Caenorhabditis elegans: one gene and its partner. The protein of the gene in region 1 interacts with the protein of each later gene in a biochemical or structural test. Each region holds a gene or a part of one and is shown on either strand. Other genes may lie near its edges. The genes, in order: wrm-1 and cdk-1.

What was found.
Region 2: of the proteins of wrm-1 (region 1) and cdk-1, one has a biochemical effect on the other in vitro, tested with the Caenorhabditis elegans proteins (one study listed by BioGRID).

What each region holds. Positions count from the first base shown.
Region 1 is NC_003281.10:5,720,971-5,727,901, forward strand, and holds wrm-1 (Armadillo repeat-containing protein wrm-1), read left to right. Parts: upstream 1-1,879; 5' UTR 1,880-1,912; coding exon 1,913-1,937; intron 1,938-1,988; coding exon 1,989-2,096; intron 2,097-2,639; coding exon 2,640-2,812; intron 2,813-2,869; coding exon 2,870-3,253; intron 3,254-3,442; coding exon 3,443-4,322; intron 4,323-4,371; coding exon 4,372-4,718; intron 4,719-4,770; coding exon 4,771-4,937; intron 4,938-4,993; coding exon 4,994-5,196; intron 5,197-5,676; coding exon 5,677-5,780; 3' UTR 5,781-6,145; downstream 6,146-6,931. UniProt on the Caenorhabditis elegans protein: Antagonistic role in the Wnt signaling pathway that operates in embryogenesis. When located at the cortex it has been shown to inhibit Wnt signaling during asymmetric cell division but when relocated to the nucleus it shows positive regulation.
Region 2 is NC_003281.10:9,745,364-9,749,447, reverse strand, and holds cdk-1 (Cyclin-dependent kinase 1), read right to left. Parts: upstream 1,977-4,084; 5' UTR 1,975-1,976; coding exon 1,795-1,974; intron 1,745-1,794; coding exon 1,538-1,744; intron 1,490-1,537; coding exon 1,334-1,489; intron 1,283-1,333; coding exon 956-1,282; intron 909-955; coding exon 780-908; 3' UTR 596-779; downstream 1-595. Other genes in the region: T05G5.4 (uncharacterized protein), read right to left, coding at 1-81, 128-230, 298-411, 455-508; iff-1 (Eukaryotic translation initiation factor 5A-1), read left to right, coding at 2,295-2,395, 2,843-2,972, 3,017-3,169, 3,288-3,425, 3,475-3,540. UniProt on the Caenorhabditis elegans protein: Plays a key role in the control of the eukaryotic cell cycle. Required for entry into S-phase and mitosis. Acts as a component of the kinase complex that phosphorylates the repetitive C-terminus of RNA polymerase II.

The DNA of each region.
Region 1 (6,931 bases):
TGAGAAAGTGTCCTTGAATCGACGTTCTTCCGTTCGAAATCTTCACGCTTATGCAAACATATGGAGACAGATGTTTTCTGAAGCGATAGGGAGAAAAACGTGGGAAACAGGTGCAACAGTTGCTTTTATTTGCCAATTTTTTTTTGGTTTTTCTGCAAAATTTTCGACTATTTCTCTGCCTTTAATTTCCATTGAAAATTCCTGTATTTTTCGTAAATTTTTTGCCAAATTATGTTTTAAATTTCTCAAATTTGTACCCGAATTCACAGGAATCATTTAGAACACGATTTGTCGATATTGAAACAAAAAACTCAAAGTTAGTTGATTTTCAACAACACGAATAAGCTGAAAATTTCCGATTTATCAACATAAATCATGTGAAAAATGCAATTTTTGACTTGAACCCTACTTTTAGAGGTGAAAATTGAGGAATTTTGCAGATTTTCGGCCAGAAATAGTGAAATATCAGTTTTTTTTGTTAAAACTGAAATTTAGCAGAATTTCAAAAAGAAAAAAAAAACAGGTTTTGCATTTCACAAAAAAATGTTAAATTCTCTAAAATTGATTTTTCCTCGCCGCTGCTCTTGATTCTTCCAATTTCCGGTTCATTTTCAATTCCCCTAAATCCGGCTTTCATTTTTTCTTTTCCTTCTTCTCATCCTCACGCCTCACTTGATATCCTCAAAGTCATAGATTCAAATGTTTCTTCGTCACATTTTTGTCTCCGATGACACGCCTGATGATTTAATAATGTGGTCAAATTGATTGATTACTAGTTGGTTGTTGTCTCTTTCTCTACGAGTCGTGTACACACTGATTCCCTTCAGCCTGAGCAGGTGCATATTATCCATTCGCCAATGCTTCTCCTTTTTTTCGAGCTAACTCGCAAGGTTTTGATTAAAATTTAAATAAAAAACTTTAATCCCAAATCCAGAAATTTTCACATAAAACATTTGTGTGGCCTTTCGAAGTAAACTTCCTGCTCAACGGCATCACATTTTCTTTGATTTATTCACTAGATTAACTTTCAGTATTGAAAGCTTCAATCGAATTCAAAATGTATTGATTCGCGGCGCGGAGGTTTCTAGGCCACCGGCTGTGTACTCCTCTCGGACGGGCGATGCCATTCTTCTTATCAGTTTAAATCTTTTTTTCATCGCAAAACTTACTGATAAACTTTGTGAGTTACGTATTTAATAGGAATAATTTTCTCTCCGCTATTTTCGGATTAAATTTCCCCGAAACATTTTGCAACTGGCCGTTCGTCCTGCTGTTTGAACAGCATTCAAGTGTTGACCCCCCACAGAGTATATACCCATATGAACTGATTTATTGGTTACCCCCGATCGTTTTGCATTTATTATCCATTCACCAATGTTTCAGAAATTCAAAATTTTCTACAAGTGGCTGACTATTCGAAAAAAAAAAATAGAATAAGGTGTCAAAAAGTCTGTCAATATTGAAAAAAGCTCAGTGTCCACTTGAGTATGTTTGACTTGGAAGGTGTGAATAGCAGTTGCTCGAAAGACAATAGGAAAGGGGTTTTGTACTTTTGCACAGCATTCTGAGTTATTTTCTAAAATGAAAAAAATTATTTTTTAAACTTTTCTGTAAATTATATTAAAATTGAGAAAAAAACTATTGCTTTGATTCAAAAAACTCATAAATTAAACAATTTTTAAAATATTTTCTAGTTGCTGCAAGAATTAGATACAATTCTCACAAATCCAAAAGTTCGTAATTCTTTTAACTTCTCTTGAAACTTCTTCATTTTTTTGTGAAATCTCCACACACATCCGATTACTTTCCTTTATTCCCCTCATCAATGGCGTTTTCTCAGGTTCTCACATCGAAATTTCTCATTTTAGCTTAGTTTCAGGTTCCTCAACGGACCTGCAACCACCCATCTGAAATGGATGTGGATTGCGCAGAAACATGTAGGTTCCCCCTTGAAATAATAATTATTAAAAAAATCAATAAAATTTCAGTCTCGCAACCATGCACTCCGCTGAATTTCAATCCGATGACTCCGTCAACATCGAGAGTTTCAACACCAGTTCGGCCGTCTTCTACAATGTCTGCCAGACAATATTCAGGTGAGAAAGATATGAAATTTTGGCTTTACTTCGAAAAAAAGATTAAAAGCGGCCAATTTATGCTTAAGATTTTTAATATTCGGAAAAGAATTATTGTAATCTGAGAATTACTTTCATTTAAGCTGGAATAATTGAAAAGTGCTCCGAAAATTGTCTGAAAGTTGAGAATTGCCCGACAAAATTTTCGACAAATCATCGAAAATTTTTTTCAATTTCTCAAACTGAAACAAAAGTTATCTTCAGATAAAGCAAATATTATTTTCTACTGAAAACATGCCACACTGGCTCAATTACCGCGTACCCCTGATCTAGAATGATTGAATAAAAACTCGTTTGCATAACAATTAATCCAAGAATTTCCTGGTCGATAACATATTCCAAAAGGCCATTTCGCGCCCTTTTCTCTCTCGACCCTCTCCAATCACATCACCTTATCACTTCCCCCATTCCATTTTCGTATGTCTCGTGTGTCTATGTGTTCCCCATTGGAAACTTCCCTCAAATTACATACCTCTTTTCACATATTCATATTTCATTTTTCAGGTTCGCCGTTCAAGGCTCAACCTCAGAACATGGAACCGTCCAATTCTCGGGTGCAAGAACTCCGGGAAGCTGCTGTGGGAAAGCGATCATACACAAATGCTTGGATGCAGGGTACCTATGCACCGCCGCAGATGGCAGGACAACAACAAAGGTTTTCGAGGCCTCCGAGTGTGGTAAGAGATTTTTATAAGAATTCCGCGGCTTGAACAGATAATAAAATCAAATTTCAGATCGGCTCCACAATGTCTCACATGACGAATATGTCAGAAATGACCGCCTACTCGTACGGTGGATTGTCAATGCTCTCAGTCAACACTGAAATGGGTGAATTCAACAATTTTGTCAATCAGGCACCATATCAGCGAGCACTGACACGTGTATCGCAGGTTTCCGAGAATCAGGATCCGACGAATCGACAGTATCCGATGACAGCTCCCGAGATTATTGAGAATCTGGAATCAACGGAACTAATCAATCAAGCAGCAGCGATTCGAGCTTTGGAGCCAATTGTGAAAGCTGGTGGAATGTTGCAAACCTGGGGACCTAAAGGAGCCGAACCGATTATTCGAGCTCTGTTTCAAGTTCTTATTCCTCGGCCAGTTGAGAATGAGAATGTAAGTTTTGCATAAATGTTCGTTGAAGGTTTTCATGGTAGGTAGGAACATCGTCATCCCTAAGTGGATGCCTACAGCCTAATATTGTTTAAAAATCTAAAATCTAAATCTAAAAAAATCTTTCAAAAAAAAAAAAAAATATATATAGATGTATTAAAATATCGTTTGACAACTCCATATTTTTTGTAGGTAATCCGGAAAGCGTTTGAAATTCTCCACCACTCAATTCTTCTCTCCAACAAGGAAATCCGACGTATCGACAGGATGTTCTTCCGACTGAATGCGGCATTAATGGATCCCAATGGGCCGCCTGTGTTCAATGTACCAAAGCCATACAGTATCTATGAGATCGTGATGACACGTGCCATTCAACTTGACACGAAATTCGAGTCCAGTGCTATGGTTCTGCTCGTACATCTTTGTTGTAAACCTCATTTCATGAAGATTTTCTTTGGAGAAGATGAGACTCAACAGTCACCAGCACATCGACGTCTTCACAAAATAGTAATTGAATTTGCAATTGGAAACCTGAGAAGACCGGAAACGAAGTCAAAGAATAAGGGACTTTGTGTATCGATTATTAAGAATTTGTCGAATAAAAATGCAACTATCAAAGATATGTCAGAACGTCTTGGTGTTGTGAGCCTCTTTCATCAAATTATGCAGAACGAAGTGATCCACGAGGATTTGTTGTGGTCAACGATGCAGGCTCTTACCGTATTCTGTGGAGATGTTAAGAATGGAACACATTTTGTGCAAATGGGTGGAGCACAAGTTTTGTGCGGTCTTCTTTCGCATGGATCAACACGACTTCTTCACGAACTTCTGAAGTGTTTGAGACGAGTATCAGATTTGCCAGCGATCCAGGAGCAGGATATGAAAGAATCGATTCATTGTATAGTTCAACTTATTGGATGTTCGGATGTAACGATTGTTGAGCTAGCGACTGGAACTCTACGAAATATTGGACTTCATAACAAGATGAACAAGGCATTTATGGTGCAGGATGGAGTTACAAGTCATGCGATCGCAGTTCTTCGGACATCTGAACAGTTTACATATCAGCCACGTTAGTTTTGAAATATTCAATCTGAAATTCTAATTTACTTATTTTTCAGATGCCAATATAGATTTATATAGAAAGCAGATTCTGTCGATTTATGAAAATTGTCTATCCGTATTGAACAATGTGACTTCTATGGCACCTCAAGATATCAAAGAATCTGCAGTATCAGCGTGTAGAATGATCAGTGAGAATGCCGACTCCGCATATGTGCTCCTTCATTACTTTAACGTTGGAAATCGGAAGTGCAGGAAACTTGCGGTGACAGTAATGAAACGTGTCATTGAGACGGTTCCTGCTTTTGCTGATCCGTTTGTTGATCTACTTGGAACAACAAATGAGCCACTACCAATTTTATTGCTTCAAAGAGCATTCCAGAGTTTGGACGAATGGCGGAAAACTGTAAGCTATAAATTAAATTCGTAGAAACAAATAAATTATAATTGATTTTCAGAGCGTTGAAATGATGAATTGTGACGGTAGAAGTGCTGAGCAGAGAAGAGAATTAGATGACAGACGAAAAGATCACGAAGATATTGTAAAACGATCTGTGGGACTTTTAACGAATCTTTGTAGTCAGGCAAATCCAAGATTTTTCCACAGTTTGAAGCTAGTATTGACGTAAGTTTTTTACACTGAAAATCACAATTGAAATAATTAATTTCATTTTATTCCAGAAATGGCACGCTAAACCCCTTCCAATGGCTGACACATGAGATGAGTGACGGTATTCTGCAAGAGTGGCTAGCATTCATTTTGTCAATTTGTAGTCGTGACGAGTCACTGCAAACTTTTATGATGTACAGATTCCTGGAACAGGCAAAAATGACTGAAGCATTCTTTGCGGAACTCAAGGCTCGTCGGCAGAATTCGAATATTCGTGAGTTTTTAACTTCTGAAGAAACTAACAAAAAATACGAATTTTTAAAATACACAAACGCGAAATTTTTCAATTTTGCGCCAAGAATTACGGTAACTTTTTGTTGAATGCAAATATGTGCTTTCATAAATAGTTTTTTTTGTAAAAAATATACGTTTCAATTGAAATATTTGGGGGTTTTGTGAATTATTATTTATGAAAACCTATGAACAATCTATGAAAATTCAGCAGAAACTAAAATTTCATAATGCAGGACTTTTAAAGGCGCACACCATTTTGCATTTAACAAAAGCTTGTCGTGTCGAGACCGGGTACTGTATTTTTGGCGCAAAATTTAGCTACTTCCAGAACATTAAAAGCCTCTTCATTTCTATCACTGCGATAAAAAAAATTACAACCGTGTTTAGAAATTTTATAAATTCTGAAATATGAAATTTTTTATTCCCATAATTCCCTTTTACAATTCACGATCTATTTCAGAAACTATGTTGTCAAAGATCATCGATCTTGGTAGACATCAGCAGAGAATAGTTTCACAACAACATCAACAGCATCAAATGCAGCATCATCGACAACTAATGTGAATGAATCTTTGTGCGGGTACAGAATTCCCTACTCCCGGTGCACAGACACACAATCTCAATCAAATCGATCTTCCAGTTTTATTCATGTGCTATTATATATTTATCTTCATTCCATCCCCATGTTCCCTTATGTAGTTTCACATCAAATACCCACTTCATTTCGTTGTTCTCATTATCAGTATTTGGAGCATATCACTCCCCAATCTAATTAGTTTTTTCCCATCTATCCGTATTATTTGTTGCTCACTTCATTTCTCCAACCATCTCTCAATTATCTCATGTTCTATTACAAGTGCGAACTCTTTTCGACAATTTGATAACGGGCCCTTTTTTTTCGTCTATCGTGTATATGAATTATTTATTAGACTTTAATCTAGAAGACACAAGAAGATTCATCTAGAAGACACAAGAAGACGGACAAAAATTATGATGTAAATCAGAGAAGAGATCAGATATGAGATGAAGGAAGCAATGCGCCAAGCACGATCACCACCAGTTTCAACTGTGTGCACACCATTCGAAAACGTGTAGCAGTGCGCAAAGATGGCGCCAGTCTGAAAAATTGTAAAATTTTGTTACTTTTTTAGAGGATCGCTGGATACCCAAAATAAGATCTGAAGCAGGAAGTGGGCAAAGACGGAAAATGTATTCGGGGCACAAATGATGAACAGGGATAAGCCGACAAGAAGAAACTGAAATATTGAAAAAAAATTGCCACGTGTCACATACATACAGGCGGTCTCACTTCAAAGACATACCACCACGGCTACGAATTTTTGACAAGCAAAATGTGCAGGGTCAGAATGGCACAATGAATGAGTGCCATCATGATGAACCACACATAAACTGGCATACAGAAGCATGGATCTTGCGCAGTGGCTCCTAGCTCAGATCCCGATTGAGCTCTGCCACGTGGTTCCTCTGGGCGTTGGGTCCTAGATATTGAAATTTTATTGGGATTTCAGAACTTGGTTAATTCGATTGAAAACCTAGAAGTCGATGGACTCACTCAATATCGCGATTACACTGGTTCTCAAGCATATTATTCAGACACTTTATTTGAGTTAAAACTTAAAAATACATTTCATTTGTATTATTTTTCGATTCACGTGTTTTCATTATTTAAATATTTTTTGCGGAAAAATATTTCA
Region 2 (4,084 bases), 4.0 Mb from region 1:
TCAAAGTTCCGCTTTCAAAAGCTTGTTGCAACATTTTTCGATTTTCTCTAAAATTCAAATACTGCTCAAAATCCTTGTCTTCTGAAATTTCAGATATTCGAGAGAATGAATAAATATTAAACAATACCTTCCCGGTAATAGTTTAAAATATCTTTCCTAGACTGATTCTTCTCATAAAGATCAGCTTTGTCCATCAAAATAGAAACCTTCGAGTGATGAATGTAAATGTTCTAAACACAATTATTTTGATTTATTCTCTAAATTGTATTTAATCCTATATATAGGGATATATCCTACCGGTCCCAATTCTAATTGACGTGCAATTGGAGACCACGAACGATAAGTGAATCCCCAGTAAAGATCATCGAGGAATTCTACAATCGATGGGAAGAAGAAAATTGCAAGAATAATCTTAATAGCTCCAGTTAGATTAGTTTTCGTTACCTTAGCTTACGTGCGAAATGTTAGACAGAGAAATTACGAATATTGGAATCACTGCAGCGATCATTCTTCAGAATGGAAAAATAATAATAATGAATTCTTAATTCCCTATTCTCATTTACACGTTGAACAAAGTGCTTGAATAAAAAAGAGCATGAAAGTAGAGCGAATTTATTTATCGCGGTGTGAAAAAAGAGATTACTCATGAATATCGAAGGGCCAAATAATCATCGTACAGGTAAAAAGTTGAAATGGTGATAGTTAAACAATACACGGAAGACGATAGGTGGTTAAAGCACGGGAGAATAAATAATAAAAATGATGATGAATGAATTACATCAAAAGAGTTCGAGTTCTCCTCGGTAATTTCCAGCTGGCAGCTTTGACGTATCCATGTTGTCAAAATAAGGATGAACGAGAGCTTTTTTCGCGTTGAGACGAAGTGATGGATCGTAGATCAGCAAACCCTGAAAATATTATTTTACTTGTTAAAGTACTATTTTAGAAATCTTACTTCAAGAAGAGAGAATGCAGTATCGTCCAAAAGGTGCTTTCCAGTCTTCTTGTCGTAGAACTTGTCACGGAGGAAATTCTCACGCCATTTTGGGAACGTCGCCTTGTAGTCCGGAAGTGATTCAACACCATTCCATTCCAACTCAGTCGGTGTGCCGAGAACTCTGAAGATGCGGAACAGCTCATCAATTTCTGAATCTCCTTGAAACAGTGGCTTCTTCGTGGCCATTTCAGCAAAAATGCATCCAATCGACCACATGTCTACGCCCATCGAGTATCTCTGAGCACCCATCAGAATTTCTGGAGCTCTATACCAGAGAGTGACAACCTGAAAACCGGACAATCATTGTATTGGTGTACAGAATGAATGCAAACTCACTTCATGCGTGTAAACGCGAATCGGGATACCAATAGCTCTGGCAAGTCCGAAATCGGCAAGCTTGATTGCTCCATTGTTGTCGACCAGCAAGTTCTGTGGCTTAAGATCGCGATGAATAACACGACGCTGATGACAAAAACACATAGCTTGAAGAATCTGGAACAATTATTCTTGTAAAGACATCGATTTTAAATATTTCCTCACTTGGAATGTGTAACTTTTAAGAGTTTCGAGCGGAAGGTATTCATCTTTTCCCAACTGATCCATGTATCGTTTCAAGTCGAAAGACAGGAATTCGAAGATCAGGAAAAGCCGGTTCTCCTGCATAATGACCGCTTCCAATCCAACAACATTCGGATGCTGGAGCTCTTTGAGCAAGCTGATCTCTCGCACAGCCGTTGATGGAACACCCTATAAGAATTATTGTTTGAAAAAACGAAACTGCTACAAAATTCAAATACCTCATCTTCACTTTCCAATCTGATTTTCTTCATAGCAACCATGGCATTGGTTCTTCTGTTTTTGCCTTTGTAGACGACTCCGTATGTTCCTTCGCCGATTTTTTCGAGCTTCGTGAAATCGTTGAGTGTGTAAACCGAATCTCCCTCGTGGGCCACTTCTCCTTCGCGAATAGGATCCATAACTAAAATTGGAAATGAATTTTGTCAGAACAATTGTAATACAACGATAGAAAAGGCGTAAGCGTGTAATTTTGAATCATTTCCACTGCCGCCGAAAAGGGGGGACAGTCGGTGCGAGACCATTGCTTAGTGAAAAGGCATGCACCTTTGATGACAATTTATTCCGAAAAGGAGAGTACGCGCTGAGAAGGATTGTTGTGAAACATTGCATTCATATGATAAAATTTAACGCAAAACTGTGCAGAAAAGAGAATAAATACAGGCCGGAAAATATAAAAATAACTACTCAAAATAATCATAAACTTGATTTGTTCTACTTTATGAGGCTTCCAACAAAACTAAACAGAGTTTCAAAGAAAAATCGTAATCTTGGCTTCGGAGGGTGGATGGCGAGAGTTGCTGCCCCGAAGACCATAGAGAGGTAATTTTTATTATTTAATTTTACATGATGAAAGCGAAATTTGGCAAGTAAGCAACGAATGCATTTTTAGGAAATTATTTATTCAGATAAATCAAAAAATAGAGCAGATTCCTTGAAATCCTAAAAAAGTGAGGACTTCGATTCTGTCTGAAGATGGAAGTTGGCGCCAAATTTTTGGCTGCGTAGCGACTCATTCTTCATTGTGATACGCAGCCAAACAACGTCCTTTCAAAAAAATTCGCGCATTTGATTTTCTCTCGATTTCTATACTTTTCTCAGGTTTGTACAGTGTTTTTCTTGCTAAGATCAATATTTTATTAGAAATGCATCAAATTTCTCAATCAAAACAATTTTTTCCTGCAAACCTTTTTTTCCAAATTTATTTTTTGAATTTCTCGTTGGAAACTAGTTGAAAATGCTAAAATAATTGATAAATCTTTGTTGCAGTATGTCCGAAGATCATCACGACGAGGAGCAATTCGACTCTGCCGAGTCCGGAGCTGCTGCTACTTTCCCGAAGCAATGCTCGGCTCTTCGCAAGAACGAGCACGTCATGATCCGAGGAAGACCATGCAAGGTAAAAAATAATTCAGTGAATTTTCCTAATTAGAAATTTTTTAGATCGTCGAGATGAGCACCTCCAAGACTGGAAAGCACGGACATGCTAAGGTTCACATGGTTGCCATCGATATTTTCACCACCAAGAAGCTTGAGGATATCTGCCCATCCACCCACAACATGGACGTCCCAGTCGTCAAGAGACGCGAGTACATTGTAAGTTGTTAATTAGTTTTTAAGAAGGCTTTCAAAAAAATCAACTTTGGACGGTTAAACAAATCTTTTGAAAAATGAGTTAATCAGCTGTAAAAAATGTTATTGATCAAATTTTCAGCTCATGTCGATCGAAGACGGGTTCTGCTCGCTCATGGATCCAGAATCTTGCGAGCTCAAAGACGATCTCAAAATGCCAGAAGGAGACTTGGGAAACACTATCCGTGAGGCTCTCGAGAAAGACGAAGGAAGCGTCTTGGTAATTATTTCGACATCCACCTTTTGAATCTGAAAATTTTGATTTTCAGGTTCAAGTCGTTGCTGCCTGCGGAGAGGAGGCTATTCTCGGATACAAGATTTCTACCAAGGAATAATTGCATTTATATACAATTTCATAATAAAAGCAGTTCCAGTTTAATCATCCCGCTTTTTATACATCATTCGAAAAACATCGGGCAATGAACAAGTGCACCTCCGCTGGTGTTGTGTAATGTGGGTGTTTTATGTGTCGTGTTGATTGTGATATCTGCTCACCAAACGAAAATGAATTGCTTGCAAACCGCGGAGGTGACATCTGTCCATGGAGTGTTAAATCAGATTCAGTTGTCAGACTTTGTAATCACAGTTCCTAGTTTTTGGAACTACATGGCCTGTGCAGCTTTTCCACCCTTTGTACACTACACCTTATTGCTTATTGAGTTGACCCCAGGTTGGCCGCGTGCCAATAGAGCTGTTCACTTTAAAACGTGTCCTCCTCCGCGACCTGCGAGCACCCCCTTAACCACGATAATATCTAGGTGCAGTATCAAAGACCCACCTTCCTCAAACCTCACTAGCCATCCTTCCTTCATCAATTGGCAATTTAAAAGAGTCGCATAAATTTCACAGTCACCCAGGAAGATTTCGTAAACTCTACGC